Saccharomyces cerevisiae S288C: one gene and its partners. Changing the gene in region 1 together with any one later gene gives a genetic interaction. Each region holds a gene or a part of one and is shown on either strand. Other genes may lie near its edges.

Evidence for each region. Genes that interact genetically often act in the same process or in processes that back each other up.
Region 2: mutations in PDC1 (region 1) and VMS1 together harm fitness more than expected from each alone (negative genetic interaction), as found in Saccharomyces cerevisiae (2 studies listed by BioGRID).
Region 3: mutations in PDC1 (region 1) and DBP1 together harm fitness more than expected from each alone (negative genetic interaction), as found in Saccharomyces cerevisiae (2 studies listed by BioGRID).

The regions. Positions count from the first base shown.
Region 1 is NC_001144.5:231,287-239,066, forward strand, and holds PDC1 (indolepyruvate decarboxylase 1), read right to left. Parts: upstream 2,796-7,780; coding exon 1,104-2,795; downstream 1-1,103. Other genes in the region: thioredoxin TRX1, read right to left, coding at 416-727; STU2 (Stu2p), read right to left, coding at 3,751-6,417; YLR046C (uncharacterized protein), read right to left, coding at 6,715-7,527. UniProt on the Saccharomyces cerevisiae protein: Major of three pyruvate decarboxylases (PDC1, PDC5, PDC6) implicated in the nonoxidative conversion of pyruvate to acetaldehyde and carbon dioxide during alcoholic fermentation.
Region 2 is NC_001136.10:550,708-555,671, reverse strand, and holds VMS1 (Vms1p), read right to left. Parts: upstream 2,419-4,964; coding exon 520-2,418; downstream 1-519. Other genes in the region: uroporphyrinogen decarboxylase HEM12, read right to left, coding at 2,724-3,812. UniProt on the Saccharomyces cerevisiae protein: Endonuclease that cleaves polypeptidyl-tRNAs downstream of the ribosome-associated quality control (RQC) pathway to release incompletely synthesized polypeptides for degradation.
Region 3 is NC_001148.4:323,892-328,544, forward strand, and holds DBP1 (putative DEAD-box ATP-dependent RNA helicase DBP1), read right to left. Parts: upstream 2,374-4,653; coding exon 520-2,373; downstream 1-519. Other genes in the region: YPL119C-A (uncharacterized protein), read right to left, coding at 133-396; mitochondrial 37S ribosomal protein bS1m MRP51, read left to right, coding at 2,737-3,771; isopentenyl-diphosphate delta-isomerase IDI1, read right to left, coding at 3,973-4,653. UniProt on the Saccharomyces cerevisiae protein: ATP-binding RNA helicase involved in translation initiation. Remodels RNA in response to ADP and ATP concentrations by facilitating disruption, but also formation of RNA duplexes.

The DNA.
Region 1 (7,780 bases):
ATTTTTCATCTTCGGCTTACCGGTCTTGAAAATATTTGTTAAGACAACAGTGGATAAAATAAAACTAAACAACTCAAGCAAAAGTATTCCACTTCTTAAACAAAGCCCAACTGAAAGGTTGCGAAATACTATGTCATTTTGATTTAATCATCTAATGCTCGAGAAAATTTCAGAGCCGTAATACTTAAGTAATCGGAAGAAAAGTATCTCATTCTTCATTTTTCTCCAAATATATACCTCTTGTGTGAAAAATTAATTGTTTCCTCCACCTCCTTTGTGTGGTGGGCAATTGTGTGCTTCCGAGTAAATAACAAAACATAAGGATAATATATAATTCTGTTTTTTTGTCTAAAAAAGGTAAACTATATATAACAAACACAGTATAGAAACACAATATATCGGTCATTGGGTGAGTTTAAGCATTAGCAGCAATGGCTTGCTTAATAGCCGCTGGGTTGGCACCAACAACCTTTGCAACTTCCTTACCGTTCTTGAATAGAAGCAAAGTTGGCATAGCGGAAACTTCATTCTTTTGTGCAACATCACCCAATTCATCGACATCCAATTTATAGAAATCAGCTTGTGGGTATTGTTCAGAGAATTTTTCAATCATTGGAGCAATCATTTTACATGGACCGCACCAAGTGGCGTAGAAATCTACGACAACTAGCTTGTCTTGAGCAATTGCAGAGTCGAATTCGCTGGCAGTTTTGAATTGAGTAACCATTATTTGTATCGAGGTGTCTAGTCTTCTATTACACTAATGCAGTTTCAGGGTTTTGGAAACCACACTGTTTAAACAGTGTTCCTTAATCAAGGATACCTCTTTTTTTTTCCTTGGTTCCACTAATTCATCGGTTTTTTTTTTGGAAGACATCTTTTCCAACGAAAAGAATATACATATCGTTTAAGAGAAATTCTCCAAATTTGTAAAGAAGCGGACCCAGACTTAAGCCTAACCAGGCCAATTCAACAGACTGTCGGCAACTTCTTGTCTGGTCTTTCCATGGTAAGTGACAGTGCAGTAATAATATGAACCAATTTATTTTTCGTTACATAAAAATGCTTATAAAACTTTAACTAATAATTAGAGATTAAATCGCTTATTGCTTAGCGTTGGTAGCAGCAGTCAACTTAGCTTGTTCAACCAAGTTTTGTGGAGCATCGAAGACTGGCAACATGATTTCAATCATTCTGATCTTAGAGTTGTCGTTGAAAGACTTGTCTTGGGTCAACTTGTCCCATTCACCGGTGGTAGCGACTCTGTGGGTTTCATAGTCCTTAGCACCGAAAGTTGGCAACAAGGATAGGTGGTCCCAACCTTGAATTTCGTTGTATTGAGCCTTTGGACCGTGAATCAACTTTTCAATGGTGTAACCATCGTTGTTCAAGACGAACAAGTATGGCTTCAAGCCCCATCTGATCATGGTGGAGATTTCTTGAACAGTCAATTGCAAAGAACCGTCACCAATGAATAAGATAACTCTCTTCTTTGGATCAATTTCTTCAGCAGCGAAAGCAGCACCCAAGGTAGCACCAGTGGTGAAACCAATGGAACCCCATAAGACTTGAGAGATACCGTAGGTGTTGTTTGGGAAAGTGGTTTGGTTGATACCGAAAGCGGAGGTACCGGTTTCAGCAATGACAACATCACCTTCTTGCAAGAAGTTACCCAATTGGTTCCACATCCATTCTTGCTTCAATGGGGTAGAAGCTGGGACAGCAGCGTTAGCTGGAGTTCTAGCTGGGACAGCAACTGGCTTGTAACCCTTAGCGGCGTCAGCAATAGTGGTCAACAACTTTTGCAAAACGAATTTCATTTGGACACCTGGGAAAGTGGCGTTTCTGATCTTCATGTGGTCGGAGTGGAATTCGACAATGTTCTTGGTCTTGTAAGAGTAAGAGAAAGAACCGGTGTTGAAATCAGACAACAAAGCACCGACAGACAAAATCAAGTCAGCAGATTCAACGGCTTCCTTAACTTCTGGCTTGGACAAGGTACCGACGTAAACACCACCGTATCTTGGGTGTTGTTCGTCAATGGAACCCTTACCCATTGGGGTGACGAAAGCTGGGAATTGAGTCAAGTCAATCAACTTCTTAGTTTCAGCCTTGACGTCGTGTCTGGAACAACAAGCATCAGCCAAGATAACTGGGTTCTTAGCATCCTTGACCAAAGCCAAGATGGTGTCAATGACTTCCTTTTCGGATTCAGCATCGTTTGGCTTCAAAGACATGTCAATTGGAGTTTGCAACAACTTAGCTGGGACGTTCAAGTCGACCAAGTTAGCTGGCAAACCTAAGTAGACTGGTCTTTGGGTGACGTAAGTGGTTCTGATACATCTGTCAATTTCAGCTGGGGCGGTAGCAATGTCAGTGATCATAGCAGTGGTTTCAGAAATGTTGGCAGACATTCTGTGGAAAACAGTGAAGTCACCGTTACCCAAGGTGTGGTGCAACAACAATTGCTTAGCTTGAGCAGAGATGGATGGGACACCAACAACGTGCAAAACACCGACGTGTTCAGCGTAAGAACCGGCAATACCGTTCAAAGCAGACAATTCACCGACACCGAAGGTGGTGATGATACAAGACATACCCTTGATACGAGCGTAACCATCAGCGGCGTAAGCAGCGTTCAATTCGTTGGCGTTACCAGCCCATCTCATACCTTCAACTTCGTAGATCTTGTCCAACAAGGACAAGTTGAAGTCACCTGGCAAACCGAAAACGGTGTTAACGTTGACTTGCTTTAATCTTTCGAACAAATATTTACCCAAAGTAATTTCAGACATTTTGATTGATTTGACTGTGTTATTTTGCGTGAGGTTATGAGTAGAAAATAATAATTGAGAAAGGAATATGACAAGAAATATGAAAATAAAGGGAACAAACCCAAATCTGATTGCAAGGAGAGTGAAAGAGCCTTGTTTATATATTTTTTTTTCCTATGTTCAACGAGGACAGCTAGGTTTATGCAAAAATGTGCCATCACCATAAGCTGATTCAAATGAGCTAAAAAAAAAATAGTTAGAAAATAAGGTGGTGTTGAACGATAGCAAGTAGATCAAGACACCGTCTAACAGAAAAAGGGGCAGCGGACAATATTATGCAATTATGAAGAAAAGTACTCAAAGGGTCGGAAAAATATTCAAACGATATTTGCATAAAATCCTCAATTGATTGATTATTCCATAGTAAAATACCGTAACAACACAAAATTGTTCTCAAATTCATAAATTATTCATTTTTTCCACGAGCCTCATCACACGAAAAGTCAGAAGAGCATACATAATCTTTTAAATGCATAGGTTATGCATTTTGCAAATGCCACCAGGCAACAAAAATATGCGTTTAGCGGGCGGAATCGGGAAGGAAGCCGGAACCACCAAAAACTGGAAGCTACGTTTTTAAGGAAGGTATGGGTGCAGTGTGCTTATCTCAAGAAATATTAGTTATGATATAAGGTGTTGAAGTTTAGAGATAGGTAAATAAACGCGGGGTGTGTTTATTACATGAAGAAGAAGTTAGTTTCTGCCTTGCTTGTTTATCTTGCACATCACATCAGCGGAACATATGCTCACCCAGTCGCATGTTGTTACCCTCATGAAACATGTATGAGATATTACTTTGAATAGGTTACTTGCATGCATTTCGGCGTGCGGGTACCACCTCTTTGCATGAGCTTGTTCCTTTTTCAAGTTGAAGACTATATATTTTATTGAGTTTATGTTATGGGGAGGCTACCCTTTACGTCCTGGTTGTCCCTTCCCGCCTTGATTTGGCCTTCATTTTTTCAATTCTGGCCTTTAGGGTAGATGTCACTGCAGCGGCACGTTTATAACTTTCTTCTGAGGCAAAACTATCGTTGAAATCGATATCCAAATCGTCGGAGACACTGCTCACTCCAGTGCCGTTTTTTCTGTACGGCCGTATGTTAAGAGAGTTTACGCGGTGCGGCAGGTCGCCGATGGACTCGCTTGATCTTCTTTCATAGTTGACGTCCTCTTTCCTTCTGACATCTTCCTCCTCCTTAAATGGCAAAGCGGAAGATAAAGATTTTACCCCATAGTTGCTTGACACGGTGGAAGAAGGTATGGAGTATGATGAAATCGTACCCATCGATTGCAAGTTTGTATCATTTCTTTTCTTATTTCTATCCAATTCGATCTCCATGTTTCTAAGCTCGTTTTCTAGTGACAGTACTCTATCAGACAGCTTATTGACATCAATCTCCTTGGATCTTAATTGAATGTTCTTTTCGTTCAATTTAGACTGCGCTTCCTTTAGTTGCTCTCTTAGCATTTCGTTTTCTTTAATCATTTCGATCTTATAATTTTCTGTATTATTCATCTTTTCCAATAGGCTTTGTCTTTCTTTGGTCCATATCATCTCATCATTTTGTAGTTTTTGCAGTCTGTACTTGTATTCTTCAATCAACTTTTCATTCTTGTCAGTGCTATTAGCTACTACGTTTTTTGGCGTTGCCAAAGACTTAGACGTCAACAGGACCCTCGATTTATTGTTAGCAGCTACCATTGATGGTTTTGATGCGGAGGCTACTGACCCTATTGGGTTCACTTTACTTTTGTTATCATTTCTCAGCGGTGAAGATGCCACTCTCTTGGAGGGAAGTACAGAACTTTTTTTCAGGAGAAATTTATTCTCCATTGGCCCAGTTTGTTTATTCGTTTCAATAGTGCTATGGGTACTACCACTTGCAATACTGAAATTAGGTAGAGTTTTGACCGTTTCTTCAATTTTTTTCCTTTTCAAATTATCCAAGTGCTCTAATGTTTTCACAAAGGTATTCATGCCAAATATTTTAATTAGAATGGCGAAACTCTCAAATCCAATAGTTCTTATAGCAGGTTGGGTGTCGTTGACGATCTGAATCACAATTGGTACCACTTCATCCTTCAAGTATCTTTGCAGGGTCGAGTATCCATCTTTTTCTTCTTTCATGCTTGCATTAAACAATTGCGTACACTCCATTCTGATTTGAGGTGTCTTGTGCTTCATATGCTCCAAAATATCTTTCAACATATCTTCATTGCGTCCACTGGAGGCTAATGGATCGTAATACTTGCAGATGGTTAATAATGCCTTCCTAATGGCCTCTATCACAGAAGGTTTCTTTTCCTTTGTCCTGTCTAACAAGGGAGTGAAGACTAGTGAAACATAATCCTTGGAAAAGCCTGGTGTTTTTAGTTTGTCGCAGATTAATTCTACTGATTGAGCGGCTAGTGCAACAGCTTGAATGTTTGCATCTTTCTGGATAATATGGCCATATATCCCCAATAAGTTGGAATAATTTTGCGAGGTGCTTTTTAACTTCTTAGTCTGCGATAGAACACTATCCCAAAATTCTTCCAGCGCTTCCACTCTATCTTTCCATTTGGACGACGTTATCCTTTCCTGGAAGTCCTTAGGCAGTTTATCGAGGATCGTCTCCTCCGGTAGCATACTGAAGGTGTCTATTTGAACTCCACTTTGCTGTTTTGATGGTGGCATATCCGTTTCCATCCCCATCAATGTATCTCCATCCTTATCTATCTGATATTCCCCCTCATCATTCGATAATATGGACTTTCTTTTCCTGGCTTCCTCCTCTTGGCTTCTTTTCTTTTCCAATTCTCTTTTCTCCCACTCGAATAACATTTTCGATGACGATGGCTCGTCACCAACTTTTGCAAACAATTTATGAAGATCTTTCACTTGAATTGGTTTTAATTTTTTAAACAGTATCTCCTCTAACAAGTCGCTATTGTTGCCCGTAACCTTATAGATCTCGACAATCAAATTCATCGTTTGTGATCGAACGTTTCTATCACCATGACCGGCTAGTTGAGGTACGTGCTTTAATAATTCTGGTAGAAACGTTTGAACGTTCACATTAGTGAGCCCGAATGCAGCCATCAACTCATAAACACAATTGGCTGCCGCAGCAATTAATTTTGGCAGTTTTTTCTCGAAAAAGGGTATTACCAATTCCACCGATTGCGTAATAGATGTATCAAGACCACATAGTGAGAGTATACAGCTCATCGACTGCGTCTTCGTTGTAGCCCTTGAGGACGTTAAGCCCTTTTCCACAAGCAATGGTGTCCATGTTGATATTAAAGTAATATTATGTGCATTTTTCAAAGACGATGACGCAAAGGCATCTATTAAACTATTCAAGGCAACAATGGCTTGTTCTTGAGCGACCACATTAGAATCAGTTATATATTGTGCAAATAATGTAGGATCCCTCCAGTAAATTTGTATGTTGTCATCCCTACTGATGTCGCCAACGGAGTTTCTAAAAAGCTGGTTTAACTCCTTATAAGCTTCTAAACGTGCCTTCCATAACTTGTACGTTAATCGCTCTTCTAGGGGTAACGTTGTATAATCTACTTCTTCTTCTCCTGACATAGTCAACTTCAAACTCTTTAATAAAAACTCAAAAATACTTTACACTGTAAAGATAGCTGTTTCTTTGTAGTTTAGTAATGCTATTTGGTCCCTAGGTCTGGTAGGTTCTTCATTTACTCTTCCTATGGAGTGTCAAGCAGACAAAACAAAAACAAAAACAAAAACAAAAACGACACGAAAAAAAATAGATTCGTTAACCATGATAATCTTTGCACCATATAAAGGAAAAGACAAGATTGACTTCTAATGCCCAGCACAAATATTATCCAACTATTTAATTAATAAATTTTTGACTACTTAATCTTCAGACACAGATTCCTTGTCTAATAATTTGTTTAATTGAATATTGACAGATTTATCCTGCAGCTTGAACAAATTTCTTGCGCGAAAGGTTGCTAGGAAAATCAAAGGTAGTAAAAACATTAGAACTGTATCGAAAACGTAAAGGCACCATTCGTGCTGACCTATATAGCTTTGTAAGCCCATTAGAAATTGTACTACTCTGACAATGGTTCTACCATTAACCAGCAATATCCCAGCTAAAAGTATAAAATTGTACTGGAACCATTCATTACTATCCCGCACAATTTTACTAGGCGTTGCCTTCATTTTATAGTGAAGAAAAAGTTGACTGAACGTTAAAAAGGTATAACAAAATATCTGAATGAAAAGACCCACAATAATTAGGATACGCCCAGTATTCCTGCTGTTCCATGAGGATAACAACCCACCTCCTACAGCCTGTAGGACACGCCCAATCATATCTGCCACTACGAAAGAAACTGTACTAAATTTCGCAGGAATTAACATATATGCCTCCATAAGAATTAGACGTGCCATTTTGCTGAACAACATAAAAATACTAAGGGCGTAAAGTGAAGGTGCTATCAATAGAAGCACCGATTGAGCAATGAAAGTCGAAATCGAGGGGCTATTGATAAAGACTATTTTCAACACATAACCCACGAACTCTAAACAAATCCCTAAAACGAAAGGAAAATGTGTCCACATCAAACCGCGGGCAGGAAAGTATATTATTGTGGAATTTTCCTCTGACAACTCATTGTTTTCCCAGCGATGAATACGTCTCTTGCTCGTGTGTGTTGCCATTATGATCTGCACCAAGGCAGAAAGGATTAAAATGCCAAACAGAACGACAAATGCAATCGCTGCACCTTTGTGAGGATTGTATGCATAAAAACCTTCATAATCAGTGATTGCTTTAGTAAAAAAATTCCTATTGAGGCAGTTGAGTTCTTTTATCGACAATAAGTCTCTAGTACAGTAGTGAGAGTGTCATGTATTCAGTACCAAGAAGAACTTATATGCCTTTTATAATTCATCTTATAAGTTGCTAGACATA
Region 2 (4,964 bases), on another chromosome or scaffold:
GTAAAATAAATTGATGACTACGGAAAGCTTTTTTATATTGTTTCTTTTTCATTCTGAGCCACTTAAATTTCGTGAATGTTCTTGTAAGGGACGGTAGATTTACAAGTGATACAACAAAAAGCAAGGCGCTTTTTCTAATAAAAAGAAGAAAAGCATTTAACAATTGAACACCTCTATATCAACGAAGAATATTACTTTGTCTCTAAATCCTTGTAAAATGTGTACGATCTCTATATGGGTTACTCATAAGTGTACCGAAGACTGCATTGAAAGTTTATGTTTTTTCACTGGAGGCGTCATTTTCGCGTTGAGAAGATGTTCTTATCCAAATTTCAACTGTTATATAGAAGAGCAAAAAATTGCCAAAAAAAACAACATTTATTCATTTGAAATATAAAATTTGGGCTTCTATATTTTAATATTGCTTTTCAATTACTGTTATTAAATGTAAGTACTGTGTCTATGAAAATATATGCAAATGCTAAGAAAAATCCTAAAAATTTGAATATGAGATATTCCTCAGTATTTCTTTTTCATCCTTTCTTCTGCGGCTCTAGCCCTTTGTTCTCTCATCAATCTGCGTCTCTGTTCATCGGTCAAAGAATTCAAATTTTGTTGCTGAATTGAAGGAATATTGGTTAACTTTTTGCCTGGACCCCTCTCTGCATCTTTAGCAAATCTTTGTTTTTCCTTGGCGGCTTCTAATTCCAATTTAATCAGTTTTTCTGCCTTTTCATTCTCTATTGCTTTTTTCTTTTCATTGATTTCATCAACTTGTTCTCTGCTCAATGGCTGACCGATATGAGTTTCGTCCCAATTAGTGAAAGACTCTCCAAGATTGTATCTTGCAATTTGAAACGCGTGTCTCACGTCGTCGTTTCTATTCAAATCCCACGCAGTCCTTCCTAGTCTGTTCTTGATCGTTGGATCGCATTTAATATTTGAGAGCAAAATCAGTGCCATCTGTTTCATCCCTTGCTGCGATGCATAATGTAACATGGTAGGGGTTAAGGAATATTTACTCTCAGGCTTTAACCGAAAGTTTCCATCAAGCTTATTCTTTTTTAAGAAGGATATCAATAACGGTGCCCTTCCTTTCTTCAGCAGAGAAATTATTTCTTCTGTTTGGATTTCTTCCAGTAACGGTTCTTGTTTTTCTTTAAATTCGTCCTTTTTGTTCGACACTTCTAACTTTTGTACTGTTTCTTTCACTGCCAATGGTTCAGGCTTAGGTAATATTTTCAGGTAGGAAAGTTCGCACCATGCCTTCTTCAATTCTAATACAGTGGGCCTGTTCGTGGTAAAAGGGAAGCTCTTTATCCTTTCATCACCCTTGTTCAGAACGGTATTATCAGTAAAAATTTTTTTATCACTGACATTGCGAGCTCGAATAAAAATATTATCACACTTTGACAGATAAGGTTCCCAGTCCTTCAACACACCCTGTATATCTGTTTTTAAAGCGCTTTCATTGTACCTACGAAGTGCTGAACCGGCAGAGTTAGCTTTTCCCTTTGCATTGTCCATTGCTGACTGAGAACCACCTTGCTTCCTTCTGGTAGTATACCTGTGAAACGTCTTGTGCTCTAAGAAATTGACCGCTTGCTCAATTAAGGTTTCGTCCTTCTTGTGCGCGTTCCCCTTGACATTGAGTCTTTGATGAGAAACAATTGCTCCCGCAAAATGTCCACCTCCCACCATAAACAGAGCTGAAATGGCCATTGGGTTCTCTTGCGAATTCCAAAAAGTCAAAGCTTCATTGGGGTTGGAAAGACTCCTTTTATTAAATAGAGACTTATAAATCGCCAAGACCTCATTCTTTTGAAGATACTTCGATTTGAAATAAATGTAGGGCGATTGGGTATTAATATGGCTAATAGCATCCGACTCGTCTTTTTGGAACCCTAATTTCTGCAAATCATTTTCGATTATAGTTTCCATATAATTATTAGTTTGTAGGTCCGGGTCCCGATCGCTGGCTTCCTCACTTTCTTCGTGATCGCTTGAAGTTTGCTCGCCGCCAGAATTTTCGTCTTCAGACTTGATACCATGCTCCTTAGAAATCAGCGCATCGAATTCCTCAACGGATAGGATATCCAGCCCCCTAAGGTTACGCTTAACATTCATCAAATGATAATCAGTCTGGTAGTGGGCCTTTTGTTCATTTCTGGAATCAAAGCTCATTTGACAAACACTACAACGCATAACATTTGATGTGACCTTCTTTCTTGCTATTTGGAGATCTCCAGACTCCTTGTTTCTATCATTATCAGATGTCTTCTCTACTTCAACTTCTCGCAGTGTGGAGTCAAAGCTCATCAATTTCAATGAATTCAGAAGTTGCTCAGACAAATCAAAAATATAAAGATCATTCTTTTTTAGTGAGCCAGTCATTTTACTCGCCTTTTGTGAATTCATGCTATTGGAAGCTTGTCAACAGGCGTGCAGATCTTTTGAAAATCCTTTTTCTTCGAAGGAAAGGTGATATGCATTCTCATTTATTTTCATATACCTTCATCTTTTATTTTCTTCTATTTAAGATTTTGTCACTACATCCATTCAGAGAACCTGCAAAAATAAATATCTGAAAAAAAAAAAAATCGTAATAAATATACAGAATATCGAAAAAAGAAAAAAGGCCACTTTTGAACGTTGTGAAAAAGATATTATTTACATAAACGTATATTATCACTTATAACACTATAAGAATCAATATTTCCACATTACTTCGAACCAATTCTGTGGCACTCCTCCAAGAAAAACTTGATGACGTCTGGATCCATGAAAGGGTGGGTACCGTGACCGAAATTAACAATGTAGCGGGACTTCCCACCTCCAAAAGCCTCAATCATCTGTTTAACTTTCTTTGTTATTACCTCTTTAGAACCATACATGACGCCAGGATCCAGGTTGCCCTGCAAGGTGACACGGTTCTTGTTTATTTTTACCGCTTCTCTTGGGTCCCAGGACCAGTCCAACGAAACAACGTCAAATCCTGAACAGCATAGCTTGTCCAAAGCATACCACGACCCTTTCGCAAAAACGATCATAGGAATCTGTTCCATGATACCTAATTCTTGCAATCTTTTAGGCACTCTTTCGGCAATTTGTCTTAAATATGGTAGGGAAAACTCATCAAAATCTACAGACGAAAGCTCACCACCCCAACTTTCAAAAACTTGTAGTATTTGAGCACCCGCCACGACTTGCTGACTCAGAAACTCCACGGCCACATCAGTGATTTTTTGTAATAATTTGTGAGAAAGCTCTGGATACATGTTAATCCATTGTTTGGCAAATCTGAAAAGACGGGATCCACCGCCTTCCGTCATATAAACCATTAGAGTCCAAGGTCCCCCGCAAAAGCCAAATAAGGGAACCTCACCATCCAACTTGATCCTTGTCATGGTGATTGCCTTGAAAGCCCAATCTAACTCTTTCAAAACATCAACCTTGTAGTCTAATACCGTTTGGAGGTCTTCCGGATTTCTTAAAGGTTCTGGGAAATGTGGACCTTTACCTTCGAGCATCTCGACCCTCATACCCATGGCTTGCGGAATAACTAAGATATCACTAAAAATAATAGCAGCATCAATGAGGCCTCTATAGCGTCTTACCGGCTGGATAGTAATCTCAGAAGCAATTTCCGCATCCCTGCAAGTTTGAAAGAAATCACGATTGTTTTTCACCTCGTGATATTCCGGCAGGTAACGACCTGCCTGGCGCATTATCCAGCATGGCGGTCTCTCGACTTTTTCACCCTTTGCGGCTCTCAATATCAAATCGTTTTTTGGAGCTGGAAAGTTACCCATAGCGTTATAACCTGTTCTTTGCTTTATTTTTTTTTTTTTTGTTCTTCCTTTTCTCGAAGAGAGCTTACCAAACACAATTCTGAGATAATGCTTGATGAATTGAAGAACCTATCGATCACTCTATGTTACCTTCGTCTGGAACATCACTAATTCGAGCGGTAAAGATGAAAATGGCAGAACATTTCGCTGGCAAAATTAAAACTCTTGCCTCATTTTTTTTTGCTTTCCTCTCCTGCCGCCAAAAACCCCGAACCCTGTCCTGTATATACGAGAAACATTGAAAAAGATCGTGTATGATAGCGCCAAGATGGCGGATAAACTAACACTATTGACAGGTTGAGGCCAAGGATATATTACTTGCTAACAGAAAGAGATACTGTCACCACAATTGCCCGCGTACGTATACTACAACATGTTCTCTATATATCACCCACTCTTTCGCAGTGCTACGTACGCCAAAAACGCGCGCATGGAAGTAAAGAAGTTTTTTCTTTTAAGAGCGAAGCTCCATTAAAAGCCTTGAATATAAACTAGTGCGAAGTAGTATGATCCGAAGACACCAATTGCTGGTGCAGCATAGGAATATGTGGCGTCCGAAAAAGAGCCTTTAACAATCCACGGCGAAACAAGGCACCGCTGTGCATTTAAAACATGCCGTTCCCGTACCAAGTTATATTGTTACGGATGAATCCAAAATAATTTGTTAAAAAATGCTGCCGTTCCGTCCCATTGAGTTTTATTTTCCTTCTCATGGCACCTTCTTCGTTTCTTCATCCTGCATTAGACTTACTAGTGTGCTTGCCGGATGCGTGCTTTTTTTTTCCGGCCGACACATATCGCTGAGCTGGAAGGACACCTTTTAATGTAGCCGTGCATGCGGCTCCGCGAAAAGAGCTCTGCTATATTTCTCTACCTGAACTTCGAGCCGCGATCAACGAAAGCTCTCATCCAAGGCTCGTTTTTCTTGACAGAAGCATGACAGTAAAATATGCGGTCATTTTCGACTGCAAGTAGTTCAGCTACCATCCCCAGGTTTACACAGTTTTTTTTTTAGTCATAATTGCCTTTTTCTGGCGCCTCTGTTGATCTTGTCTTTTTCGCTAAAGGATAGATATATTAGCAGTGAAATTCATTTCAGTGGCAGTATGTAGT
Region 3 (4,653 bases), on another chromosome or scaffold:
TCTTTCATCAGATGATATGCCAGATATCAACAATTATAGACCTAATATAACATTGAGTTATTTTTTACACGTATAATAATAACTCCTTCTCCGGCAATGAATATTTTGCTTCCAAATTGCAAAATTCAAGATTTAATTATAAAAACTCTGAAGTAATAGACCACCTATTTCAAAAATATTCCGTATTTTTCCCTCTCTATAAAAACAAAGGGCTTCCAAAATATCCATTCCAATAAACGGTAAACTCACCCATTTATGATTGGGACAAGAGCAAAAAAAAAGGAAATTGGGAAAAAAAAAGAGAAAGAAAGCAACAGAATAAAGGGAACTTGATAAAACTGAAGTACCGTGGGTCAAGTAGCGTGAAAGAGTCAATTCATCGACTAATGGATGCATAAAACGTATGACTGTATAGTACTGGAGTGAAAACGAAGAGATAAAGAAAGGAAAAAGGGAGATTAATAAAAAGAAAAAAATTAAAGGAGTTCTATATTTGGATTAGTCTTTTATTCTTTCTGCTTACCACCATGAAGCGTTGCTATTTCCGTAACCGTTTTTCTCATTATCATTTCTAAACCCACCTCCAATCGAACCCCAATTTGATGTTCCAGTATTCCTTGGCCTCGTGCTCCCAAATGAGCCATTTCCACCATGTTTACGGTAGTCTCTTGAACCGTTATTACGACTATTGAAAAAACCTCCTCCTCCCCTAGTTCTTCCACCTCTTGAATTCTGTCTTGACAGGTCACTTAAAAACGTGGGAACTTCTTGATTCGCTTCATTTAAAATTTCCATCAAACCCTTCACAATATTCTGATTATTACTATTGAAGAATGAAGTAGCCACGCCTGTGTTACCAGCACGGCCTGTTCTACCAATTCTGTGAACGTAGTCATCGATGTCGGAGGGCAAATCATAATTAATGACATGTGTGACATTCGGTATATCCAAACCTCTCGCTGCTACAGCTGTTGCGACCAGGATATCAGCTACGTTAGCTTTGAAAGCAGATAAGGCACGTTCACGTTCAGCCTGTGTGCGGTCACCATGTATGGCTGTAGCTTTGAAATTTTGCATGATCAAAAAATCTGTGAGTTGATCCGCCATTCTTTTCGTTTCAACAAAAATCAATGTCAATCCCTTATGCTCTGCAGACAGTAAATCTAACAACGCAGACTTTTTGTCCATGTCATCGACATATAATATTCTTTGCGTGATATTTTCTGAGGTGGAACCGACTCTTCCTACTGATAAAAAAATATAATTATCTAAGAAATCGCGTGCCAAATGCTGGATATCTACTGGGAATGTGGCGGAAAACATCAAGGTCTGTCTATTTTCCACAGAGGGCATATCACATTCTTCAACTATATGGCGAATTTGGGGTTCGAATCCCATATCTAGCATTCTATCAGCCTCATCCAATACCAGGTATTTGATATTAGCCAAAGAAACTTTTCCGCGTTCTAATAAGTCATTCAGCCGCCCTGGTGTAGCCACCAATAAGTCACAGCCGCGGTCAACCTCCCTCATCTGGTTACCGATTGGCGCGCCACCATAAACAACGCATGGCCTAACCCAAGATCTATACGTAAATTTTCTTGCTTCTTCAAAAATTTGGGTAGCCAATTCTCTAGTTGGTGCAAGTACTAAAGCAGATGGATATCCCTTTCTAGAATAAAAGCTCTGTGCTTTCTCGGGTACTGGAGAGGGCCCAGACCTGAATAGCTCCGTGAAGAGCGGAAACAAAAACCCACCTGTCTTACCTGAGCCCGTTTGTGCGCATGCCATCAAATCCCTACCTTTGGTAACTATTGGAATAGAATATTTTTGTACTGGAGTAGGTTTGGTGAAACTAGCAAGTTTGATATTTTCCATTAACAGCTCATCCAGAGGGGGAGAACTAAAATCTAGTATAGGTTCAGGAACATCTTTTCCAGATGCATCTACGGGAATATTATCGTAATTATCAAACTTTATACCAGATGAATGGTAATCGGGATCGTCGTGTACACCAAACAGTTCGGCTTCTAATTTCGCGTTCTTAGGCCCCGGTATATGCTTGCCATTTACCCATCTATTTCCAGATGATTTGTAATTTGAGCTGCCTCCGCGGTTATAGTTCGCACTCGTCCCTCCATTTCTTTCCTTAGAAAAGCCAAAAAACCCGCCATTGTTCCCAGTTTGCCTTCCAGCACGTCTGAAAAAATCACCACCCGTAACCTTATCTTCCTGTTTTGGGGTACTTCTTTCGAATGATGGTTTTCCTCTACTTCTCAAGTGCGGTGGGACATAAGATGATTTGCCGCCACCACCACCATTCTCTTTGTTGTTGATGCTTAAATTAGATACCTTCTGTGGCAAGTCTGCCATTTTTTCTTGTAATACTTTCACTCAAAGGGGTTTTTCTTAAAATATCCTTTAACTGACACTACCGATATCTTTTATAATCATGAATAATCCTTGTTATAAAATAAAGGCATTACTTCAGAGATGACCTTAAGTAACCTTCCCTTAAAATTGTTAAAGAACTCGCGGGGTAATATTTACGTTGACAGTGATATTTGTTTTGAGAAATCAAAGAATGAAGAACTTAGATGTAGAGTTAAAGGAGCAATACGAATAGGTGCCGTGATGAAGAAAAAAAATCATACAGACATTTGCTACAACCCTTGGTGAGACTGTTTCGATCATTTTTCTTTTTCTTTTTCTTTATTTTAGAAAAAATTGAACGAAATGACATTGGCAGAGTTGCTTGGACGGTCGAGAATAGCTCAAGTAGCTAACAATCATAAACCATTGACATACACTGGCAAAAAATTTCATCCAACACATCAAATCATCGAAACTAAGCCATCGACACTATACAGACAAGAATGGGGGTTGAAATCCGCTATTCCTTCGAAAATTAAATCTCGATATTTGGTGTACAACGATTTGGATACGTTGGAAAGAATTACCACATTCGAACCTAGAGGCGGTACGCAATGGAATAGGCTAAGATTTCAAGAAATGGGAGTACCAATTGTGTCTAATATAGGCAGACAAAATCCATTTTTCAAGTACATATCTCGTCCTGAGGATGAGTCTCATGCTAAATTGTCCTTATTCAAAGAAATGAAAGGAGATACAGATATTTCGCCTGCTGCTATGAAGAAGCGTTTGAAGAAGATAACAGCACTAATTAGATCGTTTCAAGATGAATTTAAAGAGTGGCTGGTGGAAAATCATCCGGATGAATTGAAATTGAATTCTAATAAGCTGGAAGACTATGTAGTGAAGTTTCTAAACAAAAAGTTGGAAACAAAAACGAATAAAAAATTTAACACTGAAATCATTGGTACAGGTGGATTATCATACAGCTTGCCAGGAAAGCTAAAAAACTCACCAAATGGTGTCATTCAAAGGACTGTAGTACCCGGTAGAATCTTGAACGTTGTTAAGGAGAACAACGACAATAAATGGCTGGCAGCTATTGGTGGGTTTGTGGCCGATGTGGTATTTTTCCAATCACCACCTAGTTCCTTTAACTCCATGGGAGATTTCATCAGAATGAAAACGTTCTTGTTCGAGATCTTGGAGGCATCTATGGAGAAAAATGGTTCTGTTTCGATGCACGCTAGATTACTCGAACCACAAAATGACAAGACCAGAGAATTTTTCAATAAGAGACCAATTTATAAACCATTGACCTCTAGAAGGGCACGTCGACCATCAGTGGGAAACATTCAAGAGGCCAATAACCTTTTGAATATAATCAAGGGAAATTGAGAAGAGAAAAAAAAAATGTGAACAATCAATGTATATTCAGAGTTCTGTAAATAAATAAAGAAAATAAAGTTTACATATTACTAAGGATTTTTGTCGCCTATTTTTACTATTTTTCAGGTGAAATGAAACGTTTTATATCACATTTTGCTATGATAACAAAGTTATTATGATTTTTATGTAGCCTATATTATTGACGCGTTGTTATAGCATTCTATGAATTTGCCTGTCATTTTCCACTTCAGAAAGGTCATCTAATTGCTCCCACCAGTTGAATAAGTAATTCTCGCAAATAATCTTAAACCAAGGCGTAAACTTGTAACTTGGGTCAGCAAACATAGTTTTCAAATCATTTGGTGAAACCCATTTGAAGTCTCTAACTTCATTGACGTTTGGGTTGACAGTCAAGTTTTCTTTAGCGTTGATCTTATAAAATAGGATGTAATCAATTTCATGTTCACCCCATGGTTCATTGCTTGGTGCCATGTAATGGATTCTGTTTAAAAAGTGAAACTTACCCCTTGTCTTAGTTTCATCTTCTGGAATACCTAATTCATGATCTAGTTTTCTCACCGCCGCAGTAATAGCGCCCTTAATCTTATCGTCTAGCTTACCCTTCAAACCTAATTCGTCATCAATACATAGTGGATGAGAGCAGCATGTGTTAGTCCAAAGATCAGGGAAAGTTATTTTTTCAGTGGCTCTTTGTTGTAAAAGTAATTCACCTTGTTCATTGAAAATAAAGACGGAGAATGCACGATGTAGTAAACCCTTTTCAATATTTTCCATTAAATGACAAACTTTCTTGGTACCGGCACCAATAGCATTATCGTCCCAATCCAAAACAATACAATTTTCATTCATTAACTTAATTTGCTCCTCATC